Diceros bicornis minor: one gene and its partners. The protein of the gene in region 3 binds, or shares a complex with, the protein of the main gene of each other region. Links are inferred from orthologs where the notes say so. Each region holds a gene or a part of one and is shown on either strand. Other genes may lie near its edges. The genes, in order: CDK2AP2, MTA3, CHD5 and MTA2.

Region 1 (6,402 bases), on a different chromosome or scaffold from region 3:
CGCCCACCTCCATTGACTGTTGCCATTTGGAGCAGGCTGGAACTACAAGATCTTCTGATTTTCCAAGAGAAGCTGTAAATTCAGATTTTTACATTAAGTCCACTTGAAATAGTTTGAGTATAATATACATTCAGTAAGGTGTATAAATCTTAAGTGCACAGCTCAATGAATTTTTACAAGTACACGCACCCAGGTAACTGTCACCCAGATCAACATATTACATCCACTTATCTTATTTTAGAACAGTTCTAGGTTTACAGAATCATTTCAAAGATAGTACAGGGAGCTCCTGTATACTCCACACCCAGCTTCTCCTGTGTGTTAGTCAAGGCTCTCCAGAGAAACAGACCCAATGAATGTGTGTGTGTCTGTGTGTATATGTGTGTGTGTAAAGATATTTATTGTAAGGAATTGGCTCAGGTGATTCTGGGTGCTGAGCAGTCCCACGATCTGCAGTCAGCAACCTACAGACCCAGGAGAGCTGGTGATATAGTTCCAGTCTGAGCCCAAAGACCTGAGAACCAGGAAAGTTGGTGGCATAGGTTCCAGTCTGAGGGCAGGAGAAGACTGATGTCGCAGCTCAACAGTCAGCCAGGCGAAGTTCCCTCTTACACAGCCTTTTTATCCCCTTCAGGTCTTCAACTGATTGGATGAGGCCCACCCACACTGGGAAGGGCAATCTGCTTTACTTTGTCCACCAGTTCAGTGGATGTTAATCTCATCCAGAAACACCCTCACGGACACACCTGGAATGATGTTTGACCACATGTCTGGGCACTCTGTGACCCAGCCAAGTTGACATAAAATTAACCATCACATGAGGGAGAAGTGAGAGTGGCTTCAATGAGACCAGTTGTTGCTGCTATGCTCCCAGTGTCTAAAACACACTGGATGGTCGTGCTGGTTCACATCTTACATTAGAATTGTACATTTGTCACAGTTAACGGACTAACACTGACACACTATTATTAACTAAAGTCCACATTTTATGCAGATTCCATCAGTTTTCCCCTGCTTATCCTTCTTCTGTTCCAGAATGCCCCCCAGGACGCCACATCACATTAGGCATCGTGTGTCCTTAGGCTCCTCTTGGTTGTGATGGTTTCTCAGACTTTCCTTGTTTTTTAATGATCCTGACAGTTTTGAGGAGGACTGGTCAGGTATTTGTAGCATGTCCCTCAACTGGGATTTGTCTGATGTTTTTCTCATGATTAGTCCGGGATTATGGATTTGGGGGAGGAAAACCACGGAGGTAAAGTGCCCTTCTCATCGCGTCATATCAAGGGTGCATGCTATCAACATGATCTCGCCATTGATGTTGACCTTGACCACCTGGCCTGAGGTCGTGTTTGTCAGGGGTCTGTCCTGTAAAATTACTCTTTCTCTCTCTCCTGTTACATACTACACTCTTCGGAAGGAAGTCGCTATGCACAGCCCACACTTAAGGGGTGAGAGGTTATAATCCTCATTAATGGCAGAGTAGCTACATCAATTACTTGCAATTATTCCCTGCAGGAGATTTCTCTCTTCTCCCGCATTTATTTATTTATTCAGTCAGTCATTTATTTTTATCTGCATGGGCTCATAGATATTTATTTTATACAAGTTATAATTCAACACTATTTTATTTATTTTGTTCAAATTGCTGCAGCCTTGGTCAGTGGGAGCGCTTGCAGTTGTTCCTGTGTCCCTTTGCCATACCCCCAGCACCTAGGGGGTTTGGGGATTTGGGGTTTTTTTAGGTTTTTTTCTTTAGCATTTTCTTACCCTTGGCACTACAAGATGCTTCAAGAGCATCTTGTATATGTCCTGCCCCAGTCCTAGAATCAGCCATTTCTCCGAGGAACTCTAGTTCATTTTATTGGAGAATGGTATTAGAAACCAAGATCTGGGTGCAAGGTTGCTTCTAGGACTTTCAGCTGATAGAGTGAGGAGATATGTGTATATACTAACCTACGTATATATACCTTTTTAAATATTTCTGTATGCAACCAAACTGTATCTACATTAAGCTAAACATGAGTTCATATTGATGTCTCCAACTCCAATCCATTACCACATGGATCATTCTAGCCTCCTCCCCTTGCTTACCTGTAACTTCTTATTCCAACAGTGAGAAATCATCCACCCTACGTTTACTTAATTTTCAATTCCTGTGCACATGCGCAGTGGTTTCAGCATTGTTACCCCCACCCCCACCGGAGCCACTTCATCAACTAGAGTACAGTGCTCTGTGCAGTCCCTTTTGTCTTTATTCTTACAGACTCCAGCCACTTCCAGATTCCCACCTTATTCCTCCACTCCCTTCAGTGAAGCCGTTTCATATATTTGTAATACAGCTAGATTCTTTTGTCATAGTCTGCATTCCATCCTGGGATCCCCTGGCCTCCTAAATGATTTTTTAAATTTGCAAACATTAAAGTTTACTCTTTGACAAATGCTTATGTCTTGTATTCACCCTTACAGTATCATACAGAATAGTTTCACCACCCTAAAGAAAATCTCCTATGCTTCACCTATTCAATTCTATCCCTTACACCCCAGGCAACCAGTAATTGTTTACCTTCTGTGTAAGTTTGCCTTTTCCAGAATGCCATACAATTGGAATCATACAGTATGGGGCTTTTTCAGACTGGCTTCTTTCACTTAGCAATATGCCTATCTGTGTCTTTTCATGGCTGGATAAATGATTTCCTTTTATTGCCGAACAATAGTCCATTATATGGATATATCACAGTTTGTCCATTCACCTATTGAAGGCCACCTCCTCTGGGAACACTTCTGTGATGTCACCAGGGAGTCCCTTCGTCTGAGTTCCAATGCACTGTCCCAGTCTCCACATTGTCTTACTGTGCTGTGTACGGGAAGCCGTTGCTTCCCTGCCTTTCTCTCCTTGAGACTAGGAGCTCCTTGAGGACAGAGGCCATGCCAGTTCACTTCGGTATCATCAGTGTCCAGCCTGGGATGGAGGATGGAGTCAGAAAATGTTTGTTGGATGAATGAATGAATAAATGTCCTGGGGATGAGGATAATCTACAGACCTGGGGGCATGAAGGATACACAAGGCTAGAGAGGTTTGGGGGAGAAGTAGCCTGGGAGAAAGGATTAGTGTTTGGAGCAGAGTCTAAGATCTAGAGTTGTGAGGAATGAGATTTGAGGGGAGGGGTCTGGGTGGAGAAACGGATAGGAAAGAGGAGAATGAAACAATAAGCCCTTTATGAATATTCATTTAACCCACACAACAGCCCTGTGAGATAGTTATTAGCGTCCCCATCTTACAGATGGGGAAACCGAGGCACATCGAGATGAGTAACTTGTCCAGGAGGAAATCGCTGGTGGGGGTGGTGTGAGATTCGTACCCTCAGTCCGACTCCGGTCGGTGCTCCTGTCCATGATCCGTTTGGTACAGGGCCCGGCGTGCAGTCAGTAATCAACGAAGGTCAGCTGTTCCTGCTACGGTCATTGCGAGGCACGGGCGTGGGGCCGTGGTGGGGGGGCAGGTTGCGGTCTTCGAGGTCGCCCCTGGACCTAACAGCAGCCTATGAGGATAAGGCAATTGGGAGCAAGAGGCGCGGCGGTAGCGTTGGTGAGGGTCCCGTTGCCATGGGAACAAACGACGGCTTCATGACAGCGCATGCGCGGATCGGGGACCGGGTGTCGCACCGGTGAAAGGTGACGTAAAAGCGCACGGGGTGGAGCGCAGGGCTCGGAACGTCAAAGCCCTGCGTCCTCCGCCACCCGGAGCGGAGGGAAGGCGCGCTCGGCTGTGTCGGCAGCGACAGCAGCCCCAGCTGGACCGAGACCGGGCGGCGCGAAGCTGACGTACGGAGCAGCGCGAGTGAAGCGTGAGGGTGGCGCCGGCGCCCGGGAAGACCTTCTCGGCGCGGACCGGGCGGACCAGACCCTGGTCCGGGCTGCCGAGGCCCCGCCTCTCGGGTCTTGAGACTAATCGGATTGAGAGCGCGCCGGCCCGGGCCGCGAACTCGCCAATTGCCGAGGGCGTCGGCCACCGCCCAATCCGGAGCAGACAGGTGCGAGGTCCGGAAGGCGGAGACCAATCAGCAGCGATTGCGGCATGCTGGGGCCGGTCTCGGCCAATGAGGAGGCCCGAGTGACACCTCCGTGAGCCAATCGGGAGTGAGGGAGCGTTCGTGGCCGCCCGCCCTTCCGGCCTGAGCTGTATTTACCAGGGGCGTGCAGCCGGTTTACCAATCAGAGTGCGGCTGAGCGGCCAGGCAGCCAACCCCGGAGGAGCGGCCGGCCGGCGTCCGCCGCACCCAGGAGTTGGGGATGTCCTACAAACCCATCGCCCCCGCCCCCAGCAGCACCCCCGGCTCCAGCACCCCTGGGCCCGGCACCCCGGTTCCTACAGGTGAGGACCCAGCTCCACCCCTGCTCGCCTGCCCGGGCGGTCGAGGTCTGGAAGAGAAGACGGCCTGAGTTCTGCAATACTGGGCCTGCCGCCTACCTTCGCTGAGCCTCAGTTTGCTGGCCTGGGAAGTGGGCGTCGTCACGTAAGGGCTTGTTGGTGGAGCGCAGGGGGGAGGGATTTGTCCCTGAAGTTGAGCAGCCTGGAATGAAGCATCTCTTTGGAGGGAATCGGGCGAGTCCGGTCGGGGGCTTGGAACGCTGGGAGGAGGTGTCCCTGCCCCGCACTGACTTCGTAAATTACTCGCGCATGTTGCAGCTGGGAGTGTCCCATCGCCGTCGGGCTCGGTGCCGGGAGCCGCTGCCCCTTTCAGACCACTGTTTAACGACTTTGGACCGCCTTCCATGGGCTATGTGCAGGTGAGTGAGGCCGAGGGACTGCCTGTGGATGGGGACTGGAGGCCCCCTCGGGACCTGAGCTCACTGCCCTGTTCCTCTTTTGACACAGGCAATGAAGCCACCTGGCGCCCAGGGCTCCCAGAGCACCTACACAGACCTGCTGTCGGTCATAGAGGAGATGGGCAAAGAGATCCGGCCCACCTATGCTGGCAGCAAGAGCGCCATGGAGCGCCTGAAGAGAGGTAAGTGAGGCCACGCCCACCCCCGCTGCCCAGGAGACTCACACTGGACACTCCTTCATTAGGAAAGGAAGAACATCTGGGGGCCACCAGAGCCAAGCCTAGACCAGGGCCAGTATCAGTCTCCAGAGAGGCATTTTGAATTGAATTGAAATTGAGTCGATTTCCAGGGAAGGACCAGGGAATTTGTATTTCAACAGGGCAAGTTTGAGGATTAGCCAAACCTCTAATCTCATCCAGCTCCTCTTTAGATTATCATCCCTCTTACTGAAAGGAAAGGGGGTGCAGAGAGAAGGGTCTTCCTTTGGAGGGTGGGGGCGGGACTGTGGAGATCAAGACCCTGGATGTTACTTATGCATCCCCACCCCAGGCATCATCCATGCCCGGGCCCTAGTCAGAGAGTGCCTGGCAGAGACAGAGCGGAACGCCCGCACGTAACAGGACGCACCTCCACCTCGGCATCTGGACCTTTCCCGGCCACTGCAGAGCGCCTCCTTCTCCCTGGCCTTCACCCCGAGATGCACTTCCCATCCTGGGCTTCCTGTCCTGTGTCCCTTGGTGGGCGTCCTCCAGGAACCAGGGGGCAGCTCTCACTCCAGTTGGCAGCACTAAGTGGGACCCCCACAAGAGTTAGCAGCGAGGTCACCGTGAGTTTCACCCATGACCTGCCAACAGTGTTGATCCCACTGGAGCCTTCTCCCTTCTGGGGCCCCCATCACTCAGCACTTGCCCAGGACTCCCCACTTCTCCTAGACCCCTTCTCTCCCAGCAGGGCCTCGAAAGGCCTGTCACCTCCCTGCCTTGTCTCCTGGGCCATAGTGATTCTTTTCTCAGTGTGTCTTTTGCTAAATATCCCCTTTTTGTATAAATAAAAGATAATTTGGAGTTGTTTTCTCAGCTCATAATCCTTGAGTCTGGTGCTTCTGCTAAGCCCAGGTGGGCTTTGAAGAAAGAGGGCAAGAGGAGACCCGGAGAGGGGGAAGGGGCAGTGCAGTGGGTGGGAGTGAGGCTGGCTGAGTTAGCCTTGCCCCTGCTGTCCATTGACCTTGGGTGGGACCGTGCCCTTCTCTGGCCCTCAGCCTTCCCAGCTGGAAGTAGTGGAAAGAGTTGAGCTCCAGTAGCTCAGAGCCCTGCCTGCCTGCACGTGGTGTCACCAGGGGGCAGTGCAGGGCCTTGGCTGCCTCCACAGCTGGCGGGCACTGTCACCAGCCTGGGCCTAGATCCTCTGGATTGGCCTTGATGCCTGGCAGGGTGGAAAAGCCTTTTCACTTAAGCTATGTCCTCATGTGCCTTAATGCCCCAGCATCCTAAATTTGGAATCAGCCCTGGGAGGCTCTGAATACACACGGTCTCTGACTCCTTAGAGAGGGGAGGGGGCGCTGGTGCTGCCCTCCCA
Region 2 (7,883 bases), on a different chromosome or scaffold from region 3:
CCTTCTCCTCCTGTTCTTTTCCTCTTCCCTCCCCCACCTCACTCTGGCTGCTTTTCTAGAGCTGGGAGCAGAACTTGCTGAGAATTTTACTCCCTGGCTCTTAGGAGATGGTCAGCCCTGGGCATTCCCCCTTGTCTTTGCCATCTGTCTTGGTCAGTGACTTGTGTGGCTCGCTGCCCATGCCCTTCCTGTTTGCACATTTGGACCTGGACTCTGATCTCCTGAACCCAGACCTGCTAAACCTGTTTTCGCCCAAGCTGAAGGACTCAGGGAACCTGCTTCTTCCCCTGGGGCCAGGGTTTGGCATACTTCTTACACAAGACAGGCTGGGCTCTGTGCTGATGGTAATACAGAAGACGGTACTTCTAGCCCAGATGTCTCTCCTAAACTCCAGGCCTGTTCATCTACCTCTTTCCTAAAGAGGAAATACTTACCTGGATGTTTCCAAAGGCACCTTGAACATAACCCATCTAACACTAAACCTGTCAACTGTCCTTCCTCCCCCAGCTTGCCTCCCCTCCCATATTCTCTTCTTACTGAATTGTACCTCTCTCCACCCAGTTACTCATAACTTGGTACTACCCTTTCACTCTATGCCTCCCAAAAGTCACCAGAGCCTGTCGCTCCTACCTACTAAATCTCTCTCAAATCTATTTACTTCTCTCACACCCCACTGCCTCTACCCAAGTCAAGCCATCATCCCTCTCAACCAACCTCCCAACTGATCTCCTGGCCTGGATTCTCCACCCTCTCCAATCACTCTCTTTGCTGCAGCCTGAGTCATCCCTTCAACATCTCCCATTGCCCCTTAGGATTCTTGTTCCTAATCCCAAACCCTATACTGCCCGGCCATCTCATTCAAATCCACAGCACTCCATAGGCTAAAAAGGGAAGCACTAATGTCAATTAGATCAACCTTCTAGGGGTTCATCCCTGTCCCCCTTGTGACTTTCAGTCCCTTTTCCACTATCTGGAGGCTATGTTGTCACTAGAAAAGGAAACTCCTTGTGGATGCAACCAAATGGCTGAGCCAGCATGAGGGCATGAGGGGACCATGGAATCCTAAAAAACATACTGTAAAAACCAGGACATTCTGGGATTGGTCCTAGGTTTCATGTTTTTAGCCCAGGGGACGGAGGGAAGAAGAAGCTCCATGAACTGGGGAAGTTACGAACTCCTGACTCTTAATTTCCTTTGCCTTACGGGCTCCCTTGCTTTGATTCTTGCTGTCACGTGCCCACCTTTCTCCTGGGATACATTCATCCACCTTTAAAACCCATGACCTCCTTAGAATAGCTGAAACACGCTGTGGCTCTTTTCCAAAAGAATTTTACTAAATAACAAAATAAGTTAATGAAAGAAGAAAAAGAGAGAGAAACAAAACAGAAAACACAAGCTATAGTCTCTTATCCAAAGCCTGGCATTTGGTTTCAGATTAATTACATTCTAGACCCCCAGGCTCCTTTTGTGAGTTCAATATCACAAAGCTCCCAGACTCTGTGGCCAGCCCCATCTTTTTTTTTTTTTTTGCATGTATAAAAACTCCATCCTGAAATTGAAACAAAACCAACTTTTTATCTTATCAATAGCTCTCTTGCAGCATCTACTTCCCTTCAGCTAAATGGTGGGACACTGGTGGGACTGACACAGGGAACGTCCTGGGTCTTTAGGCAATCTCTAATCATGGTTCTTTAATCACAAGAGCCATCCCAGGAAATTTTACCCACGGGAGGGCTAGATTTGCCCTGATTTCTGACATGGTCTGAGAGACACTTCTTCCTTAGTAAGGAGGATGGCTGGAATAGAGAGAAGAGACCTATTAAGTATGAAGCTTTTAACATGTGCAAACACTTTATATATTTAATTATTAGCACAAGCCTTTGCTGTAGGTGTCAATCACTAGTCATATTTTGTAGAATTTGAGGCTCAGAGGGATTAAGTAACTTGCTCATGGTCTTAAAGCTAAATAGCCAAATTAGAGTGAAGTTTGGGCTGGTTGACAACAACTTTGTGATCTGAACCACACAGCATAAGGACATGAAGGTGCTTTTGCCTTCTTTGAAGGTGCAGGCTTTTCTACCCTCCCTTGTCAGATTGGAGGGTTTCTTTCAATCTACAAACATTTGCTGAACTCCCTTATGTGCATACCTCTTTGGTTTTATTTTATTTTATTTTTTTGTGAGGAAGATCAGCCTTGAGCTAACATCCATGCCAATCCTCCTCTTTTTGCTTAGGAAGACCGGCTCTGAGCTAACATCTATTGCCAATCCTCCTTTTTTTCCCCAAAGCCCCAGCAGATAGCTGTATGTCATAGTTGCACATCCTTCTAGTTGCTGTATGTGGGACGGCGGCCTCAGCATGGCTGGAGAGGCGGTGCGTCAGTGTGTACCCGGGATCCGAACCCCGGCTGCCAGTAGCAGAGCGCGTGCACTTGACCGCTAAGCCACGGTGCCGGCCCCTCCATACCCTTTTGGTTTTAGAAGGTATAAATGTTTCATAAACAAAGTCCTTGCATTTAACTCTGCACCTGATTCTCTAACTATACTGAGCCCACCATTCATGGGCACTTATTCTTTCTGATATTGAGCATCTGCTATGTAGAACACATTGGCCCAGGAGCTGGAGGTGGAAGAGGCTAACTAACTACACAGAATCTAGAGGAAGAAAGCGCCCCAGGTTCTGCCACCATCATTACCTCTGGCTCCTCCCCACCAAGTCTCTGAGGCCTTTCATGGGGGGCTTCTGGATGAGGCTGTTCCTAAGGGGAGGAGGTAGGTAGGGATGGGGGGCATTTTCTTGGCACCTTTTGCCTATTTATTGTGGTTAGTACAGCCATCACAAACACCTAGTAAGGTGCACAAAGCTGGGGAAATGAGACAGGCAGACAAGGAACTAACAGAAATACAGAAATATTTTGAAATAAAGAAATTGCTCATATATTTAAAAATAATGGGAAAACCCCTTAAAGCTTATGATCCATTCCTTTGCAGTTTATGGTATCCAGGTGGCTTTTTCACTTGGAGAAAGGCTTCCTGGTTTAAAGAATTCTAGGCCAGAGGAAAGGGCTGAATTATAATCCCAATACTGCTGCCAGTTTACTGATGACTCCAGGTGAATTATTCAACCTACTTATGTGTCAACTCAGAAATGGAGACAGTGATGTCAGATATGTCACAATATGTTTTTGGTGGGATCTCTAGTAAAAGGATTATGATAAACAACAACTATGCAGTGTGCATAACAGAACATTTTTGCTTTTTTCTCTGGGTCAAAAGAGCTAACTGATGCAGGCTCACAATTTGACACATGACATAAAACCCTTGAGAATCTGAACTTTCTGGAGTTAAAAAAAAAAAAGCAACAGACACCTGTTATTTGCATAGTGCTCTATGCTGAATGGTTTACAAAGCATTTTGAGATATTGTCACAACTGATCCTCACCCCACCTGTGAAGTGGAATTAGTGTCCCCATTTTATGGATGAGGAAATTTGGGTCACACACAGTCAATCAAGGTAATTCAAACAAAGGTGCTTTATTTCTTATTTTATTTTGTACTTTGCCTCAGCTTCATAGAAAATTATTTTTTTCACCTCAATAATTTGTGATAAGGGACCATCACAAATGCCATCACCATACAAACAAAATACAATCTTCTTTTCTAGGGACACCTGCCATCCCTGCACAGACCCCACACCCAGTGTCAACAACACATAGTTGTAAATCATCAGAAACTCCAAACAACGCACAACAACAATAAGGGATCATCTTCATGTTTAGTATACAACGTCTGGGAGTAGTTTAAAACGGATTGGCTTCTCTAAAGAAAGTTGTTTGTGTTCATTTGGGGGACAGCCAGCCAAGATTCAACTCTATTTGGTTTTTTATTTCTGTGAGGGTATGAAGGCTGAGAAAACAGGGATTGTTTAGAGAATTAGCATGGGAAAATAATAACTATTTAAAAGCTTTGGGCACATAACCAAGTTAACTGTCCAGCAATCAACAGCAAGCTGGTTGACACTATTTTCTCCTTTGGGGGGTGGTGGTGATGATGAACTGTAGGGCTCTGTTCCCCTATGGGCAAAGGAAGACCCCCCCCACCCCGTTTTCCTAGTAGGGCTGCACTGCATATAGGGCCTGTCTAGAGGCAAGGCCTCCAGCTGTAGGGGAGCGGGTTCTGTTCAGCCATTTGGGGTGAACGCTGATAGACATGGCACTGCAGTTAGGGTAGACTTGAAAGGGAGGCAGTTTTTCTAGCCTCCTCCCCAGCTGGGTCTCTGCCTGGGGAAGCTGGAAGCACCTGGGGCCCCCCTGGCCCCACTGTATTAACATCACCACGAGGAAGGCGCCCTGCGGCATGCACTTATTTGCATCCAAGTGTTTGCACCGAGACAGGCACTCACGTGCTCAAGGTCACACATACTGAGTCTCCCCAGGGACAGAAGCAGGGAGAAAGACCTGTCTCGGGGTGGGCAGGTGTCGGGGTACGCTGGGTGGGGCGGTAGGGGCTCCGGAGAGGCTGAGCTCTTGCCCCCAACCCAATTCTCTAATACCCCTGGTCCGCATTTCCGAGCGCGGGCCTCCGCTTCGGCCAGGACCCTTGCCCTAGGATCCCCCCCTTCCAGCAAGGCCCCCCAAACCGCCCCCCTCCCCAATTCCCTGCTGGCCCCGCAGCGCTCGGACTTCCCCGGGCCCGGCCCACTCGGCCTCGCTAGCCCGGCGCTGGGGGCGGGCACCTGCCCCCACCCCTCGCCGTCCCCTCCCCTCCACTTCCCCCTCCCCTCGTTCCCTCCCTCCCCTCCCCCACGTGGCGAGGCGGCGGCGGCGGCGGCAGCGGCGGCGGCCGAGGCTGAGGCGGCGGCGGCGGGCGGGGCTCGGCTCGGGCTCCGCGGGCGGGCGGGCGGACATGGCGGCCAACATGTACCGGGTCGGAGGTAGGAAGGCTCGGCCCGACCCGGCCCGTCTGGGAGCGGGCTCTGGGAGTGGGGGGTTGGGGCGAGTTCACCCTAACCGCAGGGAGCCACGGCGCCCAGGCTGAGGGCGCAGGGGAGGGGGGGCGCCGGGGCCCGCAGAGGGGGCCGGGGCTCCCCACCCCGCCACCCTGCACTCCCCCCTCCCCCTGCCCCCTTCCCCCCACCGTGGCCCGCAAGGGGCCTGGCCCACCCACACCCCCACACCCGCCCAGTGATTTAGGGCCAGGCCTGTACTTGGGGGTATGAATTATCAGACGCCCCCCTCCATGAAAGCCCCATGGGGGTAGGGGCCGTCGAGCCCCCTAATAGGGTGGTCTTTCCTGCGTGGCTTCTAGGCAGTGGGGGTTGGAGAGGATGGGGGACATCCCCCCATCTTGTACTCCTCTCCTTCAGTGGGAGTGTGGGGTGGGGGTGGGGGCGATGGGGGCCCAGCCAGGGGCACAGCTGGACAGGCCTGTTTGCGAGGACAGGGCCCTGCACCTCTCCTTCCTCACTCTCTCTTCCGTTTCTTATCCAGCCCCCCAAGAATGGGGCTTAGTGGGGCCGGGGCACCGCAGCCGGAGGTGGGGAGTTGAGCTCTGCCTGGACGTTTGCTCTCCTGTCTCCCTTCTTCTCAGCCTTCTGCAGAAGAGAGAAATAAGGTCAAACAAACTTTCTCCCTAGTCAGGACGCCCTCCTCCCTCTTTCTTGGTAGAATAATAATTCAGATAAGTGGCGTGTTTGTGTGTGAGACTTGCTCTTCCTTCTCTGCTCATTAGCTGAGCTCCTGATGGATGGTGGTGGGAATGGCCTGGCTAAATGAGGCCACTTTGCAGAAGAGAGACGGGAAAGAGCCACTAAGATAGACAATAACAATGCAGCCCAGCCTCTCAAATGCACAGTGGGAAGTTTCCAGTGAGCCTATTAGATGAGAGGAAAAGCTACACTTGAACATTTTTATCCTTTTTGTTGAAAATCTGCAGCGATTTCTTTATAACAAGACCCCAAATGGATCTGGATTAAATATGGTAAAAGAGTATTAAACAGATTCTGATGTCACTTCTAGAGAGCTCTGTCTCTCAGAAAGTGACTCCCCTTTCCCCCTTTTTTCCCCTCGTCTTCCTAGATAGAGCTGTGGAAAAGTTTGTCAGTGTGCTTCCTCTTACCTGCTCTGGTCACCTGATTTTTTTTTTTTTTTTCCGAAGTTGGTGATTGAAATGTACTTTGGGCTCCTAAGCCTTTCAAGATGCTCTGAGTCTGTCTTAGGTCAGTAGTTTTATGTGAGAAGCATACTCCAGGGCAAATTGGATTGGATGGAAAAGATGTGGAAGCAGTTACAGTATGAAAGACACATGTTTAGTCAGCCCTGACTACTCAATGATGATAAGAGGTGTCTTTTTGTTTGTTGTTAAAGAAATGACATGTGTGGGACAAAAGTCTAGGAGAACTTGATAAAACATTAATTGAAATGAAAATGCCAGGAAAACCAGAATCTGTGAATAGTGGGCACATAGGAGAATATTTTAAGGTTGCATTACTAAGTTTGCTTTTACCAGGGAATGAATTACATACTTCATTTTGAATGAGAATTGCCTAATATAAAAAGTCAGAGATTGACAAATGTGAACTTTTGTTGAAAAGATTAAGCTCTTTACTTCCTTAAATTGCAGATTATGTCTACTTTGAGAATTCCTCCAGCAACCCATACCTAATCAGAAGGATAGAAGAACTCAACAAGGTATACACTTAGTGTTCTTGATTCTAATATTAAAAAATATTTGTTTTCCATTGAAGGGTAATTGGGTAAAGGGCATTAGAAGTGATTTTACTTTCTGTCCCAGACTTTTTGAAAGTAGAGATTTCAGATTAGAGAGAGTTATGCAGAATTCTGAATATTCTTTTGCTTTTTATAATTACCTCTGATATTAAATGTTGTTATTTAACGTGTAGATTTCTTCAGATTGCTTAGAGCTTCTCAGAGCAAGTCACTCCTGTAACTCAGTCCCTTTTTATATTTAGAGTCATAATTTGTATTTCTCCCTTTTTAGTGAATTAATTTTTTCCTCTTCTAGCTTTAGAAGGAGGAAGCTAGGAAATATAATATTATTAAAGGGAATTTGTAAAATTCTGGACTAGACCAATAAGAATACAATTTTAGTTTAGTATAAAATGACTTCTACCTTAGGCCCAAGTAAATAAAACTCTTACATTAAAGTTTGTCCCTGATCACAAGTGTCCGGGACATTAGAAGCATTGTGACTGTTTGCAGTAGCTGAGCTTTTACAATGGAGGCACTCAAAAAGGGTCATAAATGACATGGACCATAGATTTCTTTCTTTTTTTTTTTTTTTTGTGAAGAAGATCAGCCCTGAGCTAACATCCATGCCAATCCTCCTCTTTTTGCTGAGGAGGACCTGCTCTGGGCTAACATCTATTGCCAATCCTCCTTTTTTTTCCCAAAGCCCCAGTAGATAGTTGTATGTCATAGTTGCACATCCCTCTAGTTGCTGTATGTGAGACGCGGCCTCAGCATGGCCGGAGAAGCGGTGCGTCGGTGTGCGCCCGGCATCCGGGCCCGGGCCGCCAGCAGCGGAGCACGCGCACTTAACCGCTAAGCCACGGGGCTGGCCCAAGACCATAGATTTCTAATGACGCTCTGGTTTCCTCCAAACCACCTTGAGGGTTATTTGTGTAGTTTATGAGAATTCATAGTGTTAAAATGTTTGGGGCTGTCTAGTTAATACCTTTCCCCCAAAATACCATCTGGAGACTGGTCCAGTTATAAGTCCTGGGAAGCCAGGTCTGGCCAAGGACATTCCTCACTTATGAGCCTTAAGATCTTGGTTTGCTTCTGGGGATACCCCAAGGACCTTGTATTTTAAAAACTTCTGTAGTATTTGAGACCATCACCAAATGAAGAGAATGACCTCAGG
Region 3 (7,676 bases):
TTCTTTTTTAAAGCATTGGCATGTTAATCTGTTCAGCAACAAAAATTTTGTCCTCACTGATTAATTGCTGTACCGACAATGACCTTGGTTTTCATTAAGCTTGAGAAAAAAATGTGTCCTTTGTTCCCATTTTTTCACCTTAGTTGTGCTGCTGTGCCTCAGTGAGATTCTGGAGTTGACTGTAACTGAGCTCTCCATGTAGAATTTCTTCAGATTCAGAGCCAGGAGGATAACTTTGCAAACAAATGACTTTTTGTGATGGGGGATGTGTCATGTGAACCTGAGTCCCGTTAAACCCATTACACCAGCTGTGCTTGAACCCCATTTTAGACCAATTTCATTTTTATCTGTCTTGCCTCGTGGCCCACCTGCCAGATCTGAAATATTCAAGGCACAGGACCGGATTGGGTCATGGAGAGTTTCAAGCTGAGATTTAAGTTCATAAAAGTGAAATAGGCAGTTGGTACAGTCTCGTTTTCAGCTGGCTCTGGTTACCAACACCATCTCTCCCTTGGCTTGATCCATACCATCTCTGTCGGAAGACTAAATATTTGTTTTTTTTCCTTAAAGCCTCAGCGACCCCTTTCTCCCATGGCTTTTTCAGGGGTGAAACTGTGCTCTTTTCTAAGTCATGTCATCCTCTTAGCTCTTCAGGAAGAGGTCCTAACTGTTCACCAGTGGTGCCTAGCACAGGTGTTGAGAAACATTTGTGTCAGAAACGGAGGAAAGTGGCGGAGTTTAATCATATCAAATATTTAAGAGGGTCAAAATTACAGAATGTTCTGGGGTATTTAGACCTCAGCCTTTTTAGGGGACATGATTTCTTGGAGGGTGAGCAGGACCCCAGTGAGCGGTGACGGGTCCTTGGTCAAGTCGCTCGTAGCCTCAGGAGAGCCTGCAAGTTGGCTTTGGCAGCTTGCTTTCATTTCCTTCCTCTTGCTGCCAGGTCCTTGTGACTTCTGGTGACCCCCGCCACCTTATCGAGTGCTGGAAGCAGACCGGTGCTTGGCCCCTCCCTGTGAGGGGCACACACACCTAGGATGTGGGGTCCTGACGAGACAACCACAGATTTGGCAGGACCAAGCAGACAGACCTGCCTTTCGATAAACTCAGAACACGGGGCTGGCAGGGGTCAGAAGCCACCCCGAGGGAAAAGGACCTGGGTAGTCTCCTGCTGGAGGTGTTGGCTGAATCCCGGTAATGGGCCTCTGTTCTTTGCGGTAATACGCTGTGGAGGTCACTTCTCTTTCTGGAGGGAGAGGAAGGTAGGAAAGAGGCCTGTTTGGGGGATTTGCCATCTTAGCAAGGAGGTGGTGTGGAAGGAGGCAGGTGGAGGGCTGCCTCTTAAATGATGCCATAATGGTGTTTATCTCAGGGAAGAAAAATTAAGAATTTGTAATCCAGACATTTTCCTATCTTTCCTATATTTGGGAGGATTTGAGAATCCACATTCTTTTTTCTAGGCTATTTCAGGCCTTCCTAAAACTGTTAAGGCTGCGCTGACCAGCTGAGTGAGTTAGCTGCTACCACAGTTCCCAGAAAGAACCTCTAAGATGCTTTAATTGAAGTCAAGTACTTCGCTTCAGGGCCATGGCCAGGAGTCTGCCTTTTTGAGAAGCCCCTCCCCCCATTCCCAGCAACCGGAAGAGATTTGGATTCAGGTGGGGCATGGCCCTTGCTTTGAGAAACAGGCTTCAAGTACAAGGGAGGTCTTGGTGGGCAGGGGGCGCTCACCCTTCATTTCAGAGGACCCTGCAACCATGCGAGTGACAGTCTCCCCCATCTCCGATGAGAGGCTGCAGAGTTTTCACCCCAGGGCACTGGCTGGGAGGGGTGTAGGAACAAGCACTTCACTGCAGAAGCCTAGGGTCATGTCAGGGCCATCAGGTGGCCACACTGGGATATATTGCTAAAGGAACCGGCCTCAGGCAGGACTTAAGGGGTGCCTGTGTGACAGATTCCGGAGTTGAGTGGGGTATGTGCTGAAGATACCAGCTATTGCAGCCCTGTTCTCGGAAAACCCTTTTTTCCTTGGTGCTTTCATAACCAATATATTTTTTAAAAATATTTTGATTTTGAATTGTCACTGAGGTGAAATTACAAGGTCTGTGCTCAGCAAGCATGAGAATCTTGTCTCCTAAAACTCTAACCTTAATGATAGACTTGTTCTCGGAATTGCAGAGTTTGTTGAATTTTTATCTTTTTAGGGATTGCTTTCAACATCAGGCATTTGGGGGTCCATTGTCATTAAAGTGCACATTTAATAGTTTAACAGTTCTCCTTTAAATACTGGTGGAAATTTCTAGTCAAAAATCCATTTGTTTCTGCCATTCCAGGGTTGGTTTTGTTTCGTTTGTGGTCAGTAAGTCATGTCACCTGGCCACAGCCACCGGCAAGAACAAGGATGGGGAGAGGAGTATGAGTGATGAGCATCTCAACTCTAATTTGTTGCCAAATTAAGCAGCTGGAACTGCTCTTTCTTGAGTGATGTCTTGCCTTTCTTAGCCTTGCCCTGGGAATTGGAGCCAAGGTTAATGGTGTGTGCGTGTGGTGGGGGGCTTTCTGGCGATGGGAAGTACTGTAAGTCACAGTTTCTCTAGAGTGGGACAGGGCACCTGTGCAAGTGTCTAGACCTCATCCCCCCATCTGGGAGGGGTTGGGGGCTGGGCTGGTAACTGAGAGGTGGGCATGCTTGGTGGCACTTAGAGTTTTTTCCTGGATGGTTGACATTTTGGAAGACAGAAAGTCCAGAAAGAGCAAGGCAGTCTTGCTGGTGAAAATGCAGGCCTCTCAGAGTGGCGGTGATTTGGGGCCCCTCAGCCAGAAGCCCAGTGATGTGAAGTACAGCCTTAGACGCGAGAAGCTCTCTGCTTTCTTAGTTCGCCTCCCTTTGCCCTTGTAGGCTGTCTGCCCTGGGCTGGTTCAACATCTCTCTATAATGTAGTTTAAAAGTGATCCAGGAGATGAAGGAGATTCCCAGCGCCCTGCACTGTGATCCTGGAGGCTGGACAGACCTGCTCTTGCCCAGCAATGAATGAAGAGGAGTTTTTTTGGGGGCTTGCTGGCAATTCATTTGGATGGGAAGGGGGAGGAAAAATTTGCTACACATCTTTCCAGCACTCTTGAGGCCATCCATCACCTTCTGATTACCTTGGACTCACTGTGGCTTGAGTTGTGGCAACCTCCCCAAGAGGTCTTGCATGAGGGCCCTGGCCAAGCAGGCGTGACTCTTTTGGTTCCCCAAAGGCCTCAGGAAAGGGAGAGCCCTTCTGGCGATACCAGTGTGGCATGGGTACTGGTGAACGCCACCTGGATGGGGCAGGTGCTCAGCCAAGACCTGAGGGATTGGTGCTAGACAGGAGGGAGATCTTCCCCTTGCTTCCTCTTGGCGTCCCAACTCAGGCAGATCCTGCGGGTCCCTGGCAGCCACGTGGTGCTCCAGCGCGGGGATCAGCCCGCTGCCCTTGAATGTGTCTGGCTGGAGGCAGTGAGGTGAGGGTACCCTCCCTTTATTGGCCATTCTAGGTTATTCTAGGTTAGTGCGCTGGCTATCCTGCCGGCCGCTGAAACTTTTGCGTTCTAAGAGTAGCTTTAAGACGTGCTGCAGCCGAGACTGGAGGCGCTCATTTAAAATTCCAGGCTCGCTCCCGAGGGCTCTGGGCTCCATCTTCACCTTTAACAACGGAGGGCTGGCGGCGGCTCCTCCCCGCTCCGCGACAGGTGTCGCTTCTGAGCGGGAGTTTTGGGCACAGAGAACGCAGATCTGCACCACCCCCAGGGGTCTGGATGTGTTTAAACTGGACCCAGCCTGGAGGGGCGTTTTGGAAGAGGGCACGTGGGCGGTGGGAGCCGGGTGCGAAGGGGTGAGGGAGGAGCCAGTCTGCACGGACTTTTCTGGGGGAATCAGACCCGCTGTCTCCAGAGCAGCCCTTCCTCAAGCGCGGAACACATTTTTCTTATAATCCTCTTTCGAAAGGTGATTAGAAGCGTGTTCAGACCGGAGCCGGGTGCGGGGAGGCGAGGGTCCCGGTGCGTGTGAGCGGAGTGTGGGGAGCTAGCTGCTCGCCGCCCCGAGGACCCCGCCTCCGCGCCCTTGGGGACCCCTGGGCCGAGCGCCTTCCGGGCGGGGGCGGCGGCAGGCTCTGCGTTTCCCCGCCTCCTTCTGGGCCCGGCTCGCCCGAGTCCCTGCTGCCTGCTCGGCCGTCGGGTCCCGGGGTGCGCCGGCGCCTCGACGGCTCCGCCGGCCGGAGCGCCCTGTCCCCCACCCTCCACCCGGCGGCTCAGGACTAGTCCCCCAACTTGTTCTCTGCTGTTAACTAGTCGCACTGCCGGAACGATGGGATGGGGTTGCCACAGCAACCAGACTGGACGTCACAATCCGGGCATGTGTGCCGCCCCCCCCGCCGTGCCGCCGGCGCTGCCGCCGCCACCCCCGGCCGGCTGCGGGACTCGGGCTGCGGGGCGCGGTGGGCGGAGCAGCCCGGGCGTTGCGGGGAGCAGGGCAAAGGCGGCCGAGAGGAAGGGGGTCGAGACGGAGGGGTGGAGGTTTGGGGGGGTGGGGGGGCAGGCGGCCGCCATCTTCTCGCCGAGGCCGCCTCGCCCGCCGCGCGCGCCCGTCAGGCAGCGCACGGGTTAAGGCTGGCACCGCGCCCGGCGGGAGGGGGGGCGCCCACCTCCCCTCCCCCCCGCGCCGGCTATGCGGGGCCCGCTGGGCACCGAGGAGGAGCTGCCGCGGCTGTTTGCGGACGAGATGGAGAACGAGGACGAGATGTCAGGTGAGCGGGGCGCCGGCTGCGTGCCGGGCCGGGGCGGCGGGGGGCGCGGGGACCGGCGGGACCCCGGGGCCGGACCGCGCGAGCGGCACTGGCAGCGTTCGGGAGGGGGCGCCCGGGCTGCGCTGCCGCCCTCCTGGCGCCGCGCAGCCAAGGGCGCGGGGTAGGCGAGCGCCAGGGCGCGGCACGCCGGCGGCCAAAGGCGGGGTGCGATCGGGGCCACCCTGGCCGCGGCGCGGGCCAGGCGCGGGCGGAGGACCGCGGGGGGGCCTGCGCTGGGCGCCCCGGGCGGGGAGGGGGCGCGGCGCCGCCGGGGTCAGCCCTCGTGCCCTTGAAGGGGGCGGGAATCGCGCTCGGCTTCTGGCGCCGCGCACCCCGCGCTGTGGCCCTACCGCCGGGCGCCTTTGGCCTTCCGGGGGCAGGCGGGACCCGGCCCCCGGTCCCTGGCCCATCTCGGCTCCAGGGCGTGCTGGGTGGGGCCCGGAGCAGGGCGAGGACGGGCCGTGCTTGGGGACCCGGCGAGGGCCCTGGCTGGGGCGGTTTCTCTTGGGCCCACGAGGGCTACAGGCCGGGGTGCGCGGGCTCGGACTCCCGCTCCCCTTCCCCGGCCGCTGAGTGCTGTGACCGCCGCTCCCAAGCACTTTGCCTGGGCCGCCGGCGTCGTGCTGGCACACCCTAGCGCCCGCCGCCGTCTCCAGCCTGAGACGGACCAAGGTAGTGGCGTTCCCAGCCTACTCCGCTTTGGCTATCGGTCTGAGCCCAGGGCCACCGCCCTTGCCCTTGCCATCCCTCTCAGAATTCAGCGTAAACAGGGCTTGTGTGTCAGGGGTAACCTTGCAGGATCATCCTTTAGTTAATTGCTCACCATTTGTTTGGGACGTTTCCCTTCCTGGCACAGCTGGGCAGGGCCTCACCCTGTCAACCAGCCTCCCTCCCTCCTTCTGGGGGACTGTGTTACTTCTCAGCTTCCCTGCACCAAATCTGTGGGCCCTCCTGGGCTCCTTAGAGACTTGTGGGAGATCCAGGGGCCCTCCCTGGCCCAGAAGTGTGCTGTCTGGTCTCAGGAGTGCCTTCCACAGGGGGGAGAATATTCCACAAATTGGCATCCCAACTCTTGTGTGCAGGAGGTGAGAAGGAGAGGACCCAGTGGGCAGCAGCTCCCCAGGCTGCTGGGTCTTCCCAGCTAGGGGATTCCCTCCAGGAGGCCAGGCCCAGGAGGGCCTCCTCCCCGCCACCCTTCAACTTGGTTGCTTGCTTTAAGGCTGTGATGGCCGCCCTGCAGGAGCCTGGCCTCACCCCATTTTTCAGACACCCTGCTTTTCAACTTTGCAAAGCTCCTGCTGGGGTGAGGGGAGTGGGGCTGAGGCGGCCCCACGTGGGTGGGGTTGCTTGGACAATAGTTGACTCTTACATATCCAGATCCAGGGAATCAGGCCCATTTCCCTGGAAGGGAACACAGAGGCCCAGCACAGGCATGGAAACCCGTGGCTATTTTCCACCCAGGAGGCTGGCTCCTCCCTAAGCCGTTCACTGCTTCCTCAGCAGGTGGTTTCCAGTGGTACTCTGGGCACGGCCCCTTTGTGGCACGATAGGGGCACTGGACATGCCTTCACAGGCTTATTCCAGAACTTCACCGGCCCCCTGATGGGGTCTCCTGTCCCTCTTTCCCACATACTCTGGCTCTCCCTAGTGGTGTCAGGGTGTGGAGCGTGGGGAGGGGAGGAGGCCAGGGAAAGTACCCCCAGGCTGATGGGCCCCCAACTCACCCTGTTTGGGCCAGAGGGCTTGGGTCTTGGTCAAAGTCACCTGCTCACCACCCATTCTCCCTCTCCCTCCTGCTTGTGCCCATTGCTCCGGGGCAGGGCAGGGTAGGGGTGAGGTTGTCCCCAGGGCCTCTAGGAATGCCCCCAAAGCCCTGCAGAGGAGGGCCATGCTCCGGCCACTCTGGCCTAGGGATTGCAGCCCCATCCTCAGCAAGACCAGATGCTCCACCTCCAGAGTGTGATCTGAGCCTTCTCAAGCTCCCAGCTCCTCTCCATGTGCCTGGTCCAAGCCACCGTCCCCTTCTGCTGGTCCACTCCAGAGGCTCCCAGCCAGTCCTCAATGACCAGCCTCCACTCAGCAGCCAGGTCACCTTTGTAAATCAGACCCAGACCCCCATGGCTTTGATTGACTGCAGAGCTCCTGCTCTGTCCCGCCCTCATCATCCCCACTCCCCCTTGTTCACCTACTGCAGCCACACTGGCCTCCTTGCTGCTTCTAGAACCCCCCAAAGCATCCTGCCGTTGAGCACTGGCTGTGACCTCTGCTGACCTGCTCTTTCCTCCGCTCACAGCTGCCTCCTTCCTGTGGTTTAGGTCCCAGCTCAAATGTCACCAAGGGGAGGCCCTCCTTGACCTCCTGGCTCAAGGGTGGCCCCACCCCTGTCGCCCTCAGACCCATCTTAATGCTGTATTTTCCTGGCAGCCTTTCCTATTACCTGGAATATTACCATCAGCCTACTTCTGTGTCGATGGGCTCCCCCTCGAGTGTACTCCCTTGGTCACCTGCCGTGCCTGGCACATGGTACCGTGGGTGCTCAGGAGATGGTTGTGGTCTCAGTGTCTGAGGGCTAGGAGTCTCTAGGTCACCACTGGCCCCCAGACACGATGACAGCCTCAGCCCAGGCCTTGTGTCTCTCCTGAAGTGCTAGCCAGCTGGCCCCCTAGCTCTCCATTGCAGCCGCTCTGCAGCCCTCGGCCTGTGTTCGAGGCTGTGACCCGACTGGACCTAGAGCCAGCAGGTTCCAAACCATCACAGTTTGCGGGCGGAGGAGCTAGTGTTTGGGAACTGTCGTGCTCATTTTTAAATCTGCAGCAGATTGCACTCGTTACTTGTCAAATCGACTTTCTTTTCACTCTGCCC
Region 4 (7,261 bases), on a different chromosome or scaffold from region 3:
CTGGGTTCATATCCTAGTTTTGCCGCTGGTTGTCTGGCCTTTAGGAAGTTACCTCACTTCTTTGAGCCTCAGTTGTCTAGTCTGTAAACGGGAGAATAAAGGCTGAGGATCAGAGACAGTATTCAGTAGGCACTCAAGAGCTGGGAGTTATTACTCTATTGTGACAGCCTAGGCTGCTCCTCTTCCCCACTTCCCTGCACCCCAAGAGCATAACCCACCCAGGACTTTGCCAACAGAGACCTACGGGATTGTGGCTCAGGCCCATGCTCACGAAGGTTCCATCTTCGCCCTGTGTCTCCGGCGGGACGGGACGGTGCTGAGTGGTGGTGGGCGGGACCGCCGGCTGGTACAGTGGGGGCCCGGGTTGGTGGCCCTCCAGGAGGCTGAGGTGAGGGCTAGGCTGGGTTCAAGGGAGGGAAGGGGAAGAGGAATGGCCAGTGGGCCTGAATTTCTGCCACCACTCTGCAGATTCCTGAACACTTTGGGGCCGTGCGGGCCATTGCTGAGGGGCTGGGCTCTGAGCTGCTGGTGGGAACCACGAAGAATGCGTTGCTGAGGGGAGATCTGGCCCAGGGCTTCTCCCCTGTGATCCAGGTCGGGGGGCCAAGGGCTCGGGGAAGGAGGGAGGGTAGAGCTGTTGAGGAGGGGCAGAGGTGACAGCCCACGCTTTGCTACAGGGCCACACGGATGAGCTCTGGGGGCTCTGCACACATCCCTTCCAGAACCGTTTCCTTACCTGCGGCCATGACCGGCAGCTCTGCCTGTGGGATGGGGAGGGCCATGCGCTGGCCTGGAGCATTGACCTCAAGGTAGAGCCCTGTGTCCCTGGATCCCCAATGCCACACCCACCATGACTCCTGTGGCCACCAGTCCTTCCCCAACATCCCCTTACCTTCTGCTCTCCAGAGGCAGCCAGTTTGTAGTGGTATGGCTGTACTGGCTAAAACATTCATTCTTTGCTGATGCCTCCAGTGCCCCCTGGGCACTGCCCCCACCTCAACCCTCCAGACCACCCCTTGATCCAGCAACAAATGGGTAATCTCCAGCACAGCTACGGGCCTCAGTTCTGGTTGTTAAATATTTTGAGTATTACCCCCTGTTTAGGCTCCACTGACACCCTGCTTCCACCCCAGGTCTACTCGCCCTCTCCTCCCGTTTCCTCTTTGGGAGGAGGAGGCTTCGACGTTACCAAGATGACAAGGTGTCCCTCTTGGTTACCTCACTAGAAAGGCATCTTATTGAATTCACCTTCTCCCCTCTCCCAGGAGACTGGTCTCTGTGCTGACTTCCATCCCAGTGGGGCAGTTGTGGCTGTAGGACTGAACACGGGGAGGTGAGAGGGAGCCAGGACCCCTGGGAGGGGAAAGCAGGAGGTATGGGAAGGGTTCCTGGTAATGGCGGGGTGGAGGAGCGTGATTGCTGCCCGCTCAGGAGCCCCAACTGCACCTTCCTGCTCCTCAGTGCTTCTCGGTGCCGCCCAGGCCTCCCCTGCTCTCCTGTGGCAACTGTCATCACACCCTCCCCCAGCCACTCTCCTCTCCAAGCCTGGGAGTGGAGGAGGTGGCAGCTCAGGATAGAGAAGCAGTGGGGATGGGAGGGGCATAGGGGAGACTAACAGGCTTACAGGGAAGTGACAGGCGTATAGACTCCATAAGGACTTTGTCATTGGGCCCCTGTACTCCTTTCCCAGAGGACATCAGAAGCCCCTCAGCTTTTATCTGCCCTTAGCCCCCTCCCATTTCTCAGCATAAGAATGCAGTGGTGACCTCTCTGTCTACATCATGGTGTTTCTGTGGGTGTCCCTGAGGCTCTCCAACTTGCCAACTCCCACCCTGCCCAGGACGGGTATCCTCACACCTGCTCTCCGCCCCCCCCCCTTCTAGGTGGCTGGTTTTGGACACGGAAACCAGAGAGATCGTGTCCGATGTCACCGATGGCAATGAGCAGCTCTCAGTGGTCCGGTACAGCCCAGGTGGGAGCCACCCCTACCCTGGATCCAGACCCATCCCTGGTCCTTCCCTCTCTGAGTGACTGTCTTTGTAGATGGGTTGTACCTGGCCATCGGTTCCCATGACAACATGATCTACATCTATAGTGTTTCCAGTGATGGTGCCAAGTCCAGCCGCTTTGGCCGCTGTGTGGTGAGGAGGCTGGGGTGGAGGGTGGGGCATTGCCATAGCAGGTAAACTCCTCAAAGGGGTCAAATGCATTAAGTGGGGCCGAGGGATGGGAAATGGTGGCTACACTTTTAGTCTCTTGACCCTTGCTCCCAGGGTCACTCCAGCTTCATCACTCACCTTGACTGGTCCAAGGATGGGAATTTCATCATGTCCAATTCTGGGGACTATGAGATCCTTTACTGTGAGTGGCAGTAGGGGAGGGCATGGGGAGAGGGTAATTAGGGTGGGTTTTATTTGTGTGTGTGTGGGGCTCCTGGTTGGGAGGGGATGAAGGAGAATATGTGGGGAGCCCCAGGTGGAGGGGCTGTTACATAGGGAGGTGGAGATGGCATTGAAGGGGGGTTGGAGGTATACACATAGGAGAAATTTTGTGATTTGGAGAAAAAACCACACATAGAGTTTACACCATGTCTTGTTCCCACAAAGACTTGAGGGAGTTGAAAAATGCACTAAAAAGATTGTTTTGGAAAAGTTGCTCAGGGCAGGTGTGGAGGGATTGACTTATCTATGGACGAGGAACTGACAGAAGCTGTTAGGAAAACATCAGCGAGAACTCAGGAAGCACGTGGGGGGGCTGGGTTTTGCCCTGGGCTGGGGGCTACCGTGGCGACCAGATCACATGCCACCGCCTCAAGCCAGTGTTTCCTTCTGGGCATCTTCCCAACTGAGGGCAGGATGAGAGCTCAGCTGGGTGGGCTCCCTCTCCCCAGGGGACGTGGCTGGAGGCTGCAAGCTGCTGAGGAATCGCTATGAGAGCCGAGACCGGGAGTGGGCTACCTACACCTGCGTGCTGGGCTTCCACGTATACGGTGAGCAGGGGTGCAGGGGCGCGGAACACTGCGGGACGGCGGGGGGACAATGTGCAGCGCGCCCCAGGCTCGGAATGCTGGGTGTGTGTGGAGGGGTGGGTGGGGGTTGAGAAACTGGCAGAGCCAGCCCAGGAGGCCCCTCCGGCCCCGAGGAACCGGGAAGGATTGCCTGAAACGCGGCCGGTGGGTGGCCCCGCGGCTGCCTGAGCGCCGGAAACGGTGCAGCTGTGGGCCGTGGGTGGCGGCGGAGAGGAGGCCGGGCTGAGGCAAGGCGCTGTGCTAGGCGTGTGGCCGGACGGCTCGGATGGCACCGACATCAACTCCCTGTGCCGCTCCCACAACGAGCGCGTGGTGGCCGTGGCCGACGACTTCTGCAAAGTGCACCTCTTCCAATACCCGTGCGCGCGCGCCAAGGTGAGGCCTCCCGGGGCCTCCGGGGCCGGGCGGGCGGGCCCGGGGCTCCGTGGCCGTCGCAACTCCACCTTCCCTCCTGCCCAGGCGCCAAGCCTCGTGTACGGCGGCCACGGCAGCCACGTGACTAGCGTCCGGTTCACGCACGACGACTCGCACCTCGTCTCCCTGGGCGGCAAGGACGCCAGCATCTTCCAGTGGCGGGTGCTGGGCGCCGGGGGCGCGGGGCCGACGCCCGCCACCCCTTCTCGAACCCCGTCCCTGTCCCCCGCCTCCTCTCTCGACGTGTGACCGCCGCCTGACGGGACCCACCGGCCCTGCGACGTGGCCCCGCCCCACCCCAGTACCCCAGGACCAGGGGCCGACCCTTTCCTCGACTTCGAGACATTCCCGATCGCGCATTTCCCTGGAGGGGGAGAACGGCACTCCTGCACACACTGTATAGACCCGCTGGCTGAGCCGGGCAGCCCCAGCCTGGGCCCTGGCTCCCGCCGCCTGCTGAGGGGCAATAAACCAAAAGCAAAGTCACCTCCCAGTCCTTTTGTGGGGCGCGGCTGGGCGCCTCTGGGGCCCTACGGGGGTGGCGGTGAAGGAAAAGGGTAGTGCGGAAAGGGTAAGAGAGCGTAGACTATTCATGCAAATAACAGGCAAAGCTGCTTGCAAATAGCTTGGCGAACCGCAAAGGCGCGCGAGTCTTTCGGGCCGCAGGCGGAGCTGCAGGGCTCCGGCGAGGAGAGAGTTAAGCCCAACTCCTCTCTCGCTCTCGGAGGGGGGGCCGAGTTGCAACGGAAATAACCGAGCGCCGGGCCGCCGTTGGCCGGACGGAGCCGAACCTCTTCCGGAAGTAGCCGATCTGTGGGGTCTCGCTCTCCGACCTGAGCCGAGCGCCCGGCCTTGTTCTCCGGCTCGGCCGAAAGTGTTCCGGAAGGAGGCGAACCCCGAGGCGGGCAGGGCAAGCGTTCCCCGGGGCTGGCAGAGCCCAGCGTCTGGTGGGGCTTGGCGGGGGCGGGGGGAGCCGGAGCCTGGCTCCGGTCCGGCGGGAGCCGAGCTCGTTCCGGAAGAAGCCGAGCGGACCGGCGCCGGCCTCGGCGTCTGGGGCGTGAGGCGGTAGCGGCGGCGGCGACAGCGCGGGCCGGGATGAACCGCGACGGCTGAGGCGGCGGAGGTGCCGGCTGCGCGGACCCGACCGAGACTTCCGCGAAGTGCCAGCCCCGCGGTCGGGACTTCGCCTCCAGCCGAGCCCCGTCCCCGCGAGCCGCTCAGACCCCTTTGTGCGGCCGGAGGCGGCGGCGGGAACGGCCATGGCGGCCAACATGTACCGGGTGGGGGGTGAGTACCGGGCGCAGGGGCTGCGGGGCCCGGACGGGAGAGGTCGGGGTCGGGACCGGGGAGGCTCGGCACCCAGCGGCGCGGGAGCCGCGTCTGGGGCGGCGTGGTCCCGAGCGCGGACCGGAACCGGAACCGGGAGCGCGGGGAGCGAGGGTGCGGGGACGGCGCCGCGGCCGGGCGCCGAGACTCGCGGAGAGGCTGGGGCCGCCCCGACGGTACTCGCGGGGCCGCGCCTGGGGCCACGGGGTCGGGGAGTGGGGCTGGGAAGGTGTTTCCGAGGGAGCTGACAGCGCGGGCAGGGGGCGCGAAGGGCCGGCGACCGCTCTGCCACCTGCGGGGGAGCCGCCGGGCGGTTTCCTCTCCCCAGGCGTTATTGTGCGCCTCGGTCGCAAAGGTGGGGGCGCTGAGCGAGAGGGAACAATTGCTCGCTTCGCCGAGACTGGGGTGCAACTCGATCTCCGAGTTGTGGGGACTGCAGGGGGAACCCTCTGCTTCTGGTCTGTTCATTAAGGCTCATTTTTGAGTGAAGGATCTGATTTTAGAACTAGGTGGCTAGGCGTCGGGGGCTGGCGTCGCTTATTAGACTCTCCACTTCCACATTTCAGCGCCCTCTCTACCTGGACTCTCATCGCCTTTTGGTCCACTCAGGCCTACTTTCTCTCCTCCTCCCCTGGTGCTCTGGCTCTCCCATCTCCTCCTCTGATCTTCCCGGTTCTTCCCCACCCCCTCCTACAGATTACGTCTATTTTGAGAACTCCTCCAGCAATCCTTACCTGGTTAGACGGATTGAGGAGCTCAACAAGGTGAGTGGAGCAGTCTCATCCTCCCCCGCAAGTGGTCTCTTTCTTCTGAGGTCTCTAACTGTGGGTGGAAGAGAGACAGAGAGAAAGAAAGAGGACCCTATTCTAAGTACCCATTCATATTCATTCATTCATTCATTCATTCGATGTATTCAGGAAAGGCTATTGAGAGCTTAGTGGGAACTTTACTTTTCTATTTCTTGGGGCCTAAGGAAAGGGATATGGAAGTCTGTCCTTAAATCTAAGTCTCCTTATTCATAATTTCTTGTGTTTTCCTACTTACATCCCTTAGAAACTTATTCACTGTTGTTAGTCTCTTTGTGCCTTTTCACTTTCAAATGACCAGTTTTCACTGCCATTTTTCCCCCTTAGACTGCAAATGGAAATGTGGAGGCAAAGGTTGTGTGCCTTTTCCGGCGAAGAGACATTTCTAGTAGCCTCAACAGCCTGGCTGATAGTAATGCCAGTGAGTGTCTTGGTACCCCCACCCCATCCCGGCCCCCCTTTCTCCCCCTCCCCGTGATCTGAGGCCAGGGCATGTCCCCGCAGGTGTTTCCCCTGGTAGAATGCCCAAGGCAGGGGTGTGAGTTTGGGGGTGGGAAATGCCTGGGCTGTGGAGGGAGGCCTGGAGGGAGGCTTGTTTTTACACGTTGGGGTTGGAAGCAGAGTGGAGAGACCATGATAAGAAAAGCCAGAATATGGCTTGTATGTGAGTGTGTATATATGAATGGTGTGTGTAAAGGAGATGATAGTATTTAAATAGGGGATGAGGAAGAGCTTTAGAGAAGAAGGACCCTTGGGGGACAGTTTTGGGTGTGTTGGAACAATGGGTGGTGACTGAAGGTCAAGGTGAAGAGGAAGAGATTGTACCTAGAAGCCTGCTTTACAGGAAAGCAGGCTTATTTTGTGATCACGAGATAGTGAGAATGCATTGAAGGCAGAGAAGAGGAAGCTAGGAAAGTTTTCTTGCACTTTTTCCTGTTTCTCATCTCTCCTGTTTTCCCTTCTACTCCATTTTACATCTTTATGTTTTCCCTTTGCCCAATCTTTCTTCTCATTATGCTTTCATGTTCTTTTAAAAAATTTATTTCCTTCAGTTTTCCTTAGTTTCTTTTTTCTTTCCCCTTCCTCTTGTTCCTTCTTCCTAAATTATTTTCCTTATTTCAGGCTGCTTTGGGCATGAAGGGGTTAATGAGGAGCTGGGCCTACCAAGTTCTCTGGCCCTCTGGGGTTTCCAGCCTCATCTGGCAGGGGCTGACCTTGGCCTTGTCCAATCAGAAGGGGTGTGGGGGGTGTGGTCCCCCTTGCTTTCGTACATGGTTTCCGGAGCATACAGTGAGGGGTGGAGCCTGCTGCACACCCCCCTTCTCCCTGAGGTTGGGAACAATGCACCAATGAGCCTTGGCCTGTGGCTCTTCTGCCCCCTCCCACTTTGGTTGGCGCCCAGCCAGGTTAACCCTTTGCACTGAGGTTTCAGGGCAAGCTGCAGCTCCTTGGGGAGGAAGGTGTTGGCACTGGCTTGAGAGGTACTATCCTTGAAAGCCCCCCACACAAACTATTATTAGCCAAATAAAAAGTGAGGGATAGTTAGGATTGCATGTGATGTTTAAGAGCAAAGAGTCTCCTGAAATCTGAAAAAAGGAACTGGTAAACACAACCTTGTGTGATATTTTGTCATCTTATTGACTTTCTGGACCTCAGGCTGGTTTGGCAAGAAAGAGACAAGTGTGAT

What was found.
Region 1: CHD5 (region 3) and CDK2AP2 share a complex: the UniProt entries of both Homo sapiens proteins name them as parts of the nucleosome remodeling and deacetylase (NuRD) repressor complex. The link is inferred for Diceros bicornis minor from reciprocal best matches to the Homo sapiens genes CHD5 and CDK2AP2.
Region 2: CHD5 (region 3) and MTA3 share a complex: the UniProt entries of both Homo sapiens proteins name them as parts of the nucleosome remodeling and deacetylase (NuRD) repressor complex. The link is inferred for Diceros bicornis minor from reciprocal best matches to the Homo sapiens genes CHD5 and MTA3.
Region 4: CHD5 (region 3) and MTA2 share a complex: the UniProt entries of both Homo sapiens proteins name them as parts of the nucleosome remodeling and deacetylase (NuRD) repressor complex. The link is inferred for Diceros bicornis minor from reciprocal best matches to the Homo sapiens genes CHD5 and MTA2.

Annotation. Positions count from the first base shown.
Region 1 is NC_080770.1:6,041,519-6,047,920, forward strand, and holds CDK2AP2 (cyclin-dependent kinase 2-associated protein 2), read left to right. Parts: upstream 1-3,921; 5' UTR 3,922-4,290; coding exon 4,291-4,372; intron 4,373-4,378; exon of another isoform or gene 4,379-4,514; intron 4,515-4,687; coding exon 4,688-4,788; intron 4,789-4,876; coding exon 4,877-5,009; intron 5,010-5,376; coding exon 5,377-5,444; 3' UTR 5,445-5,896; downstream 5,897-6,402. UniProt on the Homo sapiens protein: Acts as a component of the histone deacetylase NuRD complex which participates in the remodeling of chromatin.
Region 2 is NC_080751.1:42,198,911-42,206,793, reverse strand, and holds the start of MTA3 (metastasis-associated protein MTA3), read left to right. Parts: upstream 1-4,879; 5' UTR 4,880-4,904; coding exon 4,905-4,932; intron 4,933-6,152; exon of another isoform or gene 6,153-6,167; coding exon of another isoform or gene 6,168-6,216; intron 6,217-6,620; coding exon 6,621-6,688; intron 6,689-7,883. UniProt on the Homo sapiens protein: Acts as a component of the histone deacetylase NuRD complex which participates in the remodeling of chromatin.
Region 3 is NC_080752.1:26,264,536-26,272,211, reverse strand, and holds the start of CHD5 (chromodomain-helicase-DNA-binding protein 5), read left to right. Parts: upstream 1-4,675; 5' UTR 4,676-4,696; coding exon 4,697-4,775; intron 4,776-7,676. UniProt on the Homo sapiens protein: ATP-dependent chromatin-remodeling factor that binds DNA through histones and regulates gene transcription. May specifically recognize and bind trimethylated 'Lys-27' (H3K27me3) and non-methylated 'Lys-4' of histone H3.
Region 4 is NC_080770.1:10,491,553-10,498,813, forward strand, and holds the start of MTA2 (metastasis-associated protein MTA2), read left to right. Parts: upstream 1-4,252; 5' UTR 4,253-4,701; coding exon 4,702-4,729; intron 4,730-5,464; coding exon 5,465-5,532; intron 5,533-5,901; coding exon 5,902-5,995; intron 5,996-7,261. Other genes in the region: EML3 (echinoderm microtubule-associated protein-like 3), read left to right, coding at 237-388, 469-594, 678-809, 1,266-1,333, 1,884-1,972, 2,044-2,141, 2,274-2,361, 2,891-2,989 and 2 more. UniProt on the Homo sapiens protein: May function as a transcriptional coregulator. Acts as a component of the histone deacetylase NuRD complex which participates in the remodeling of chromatin.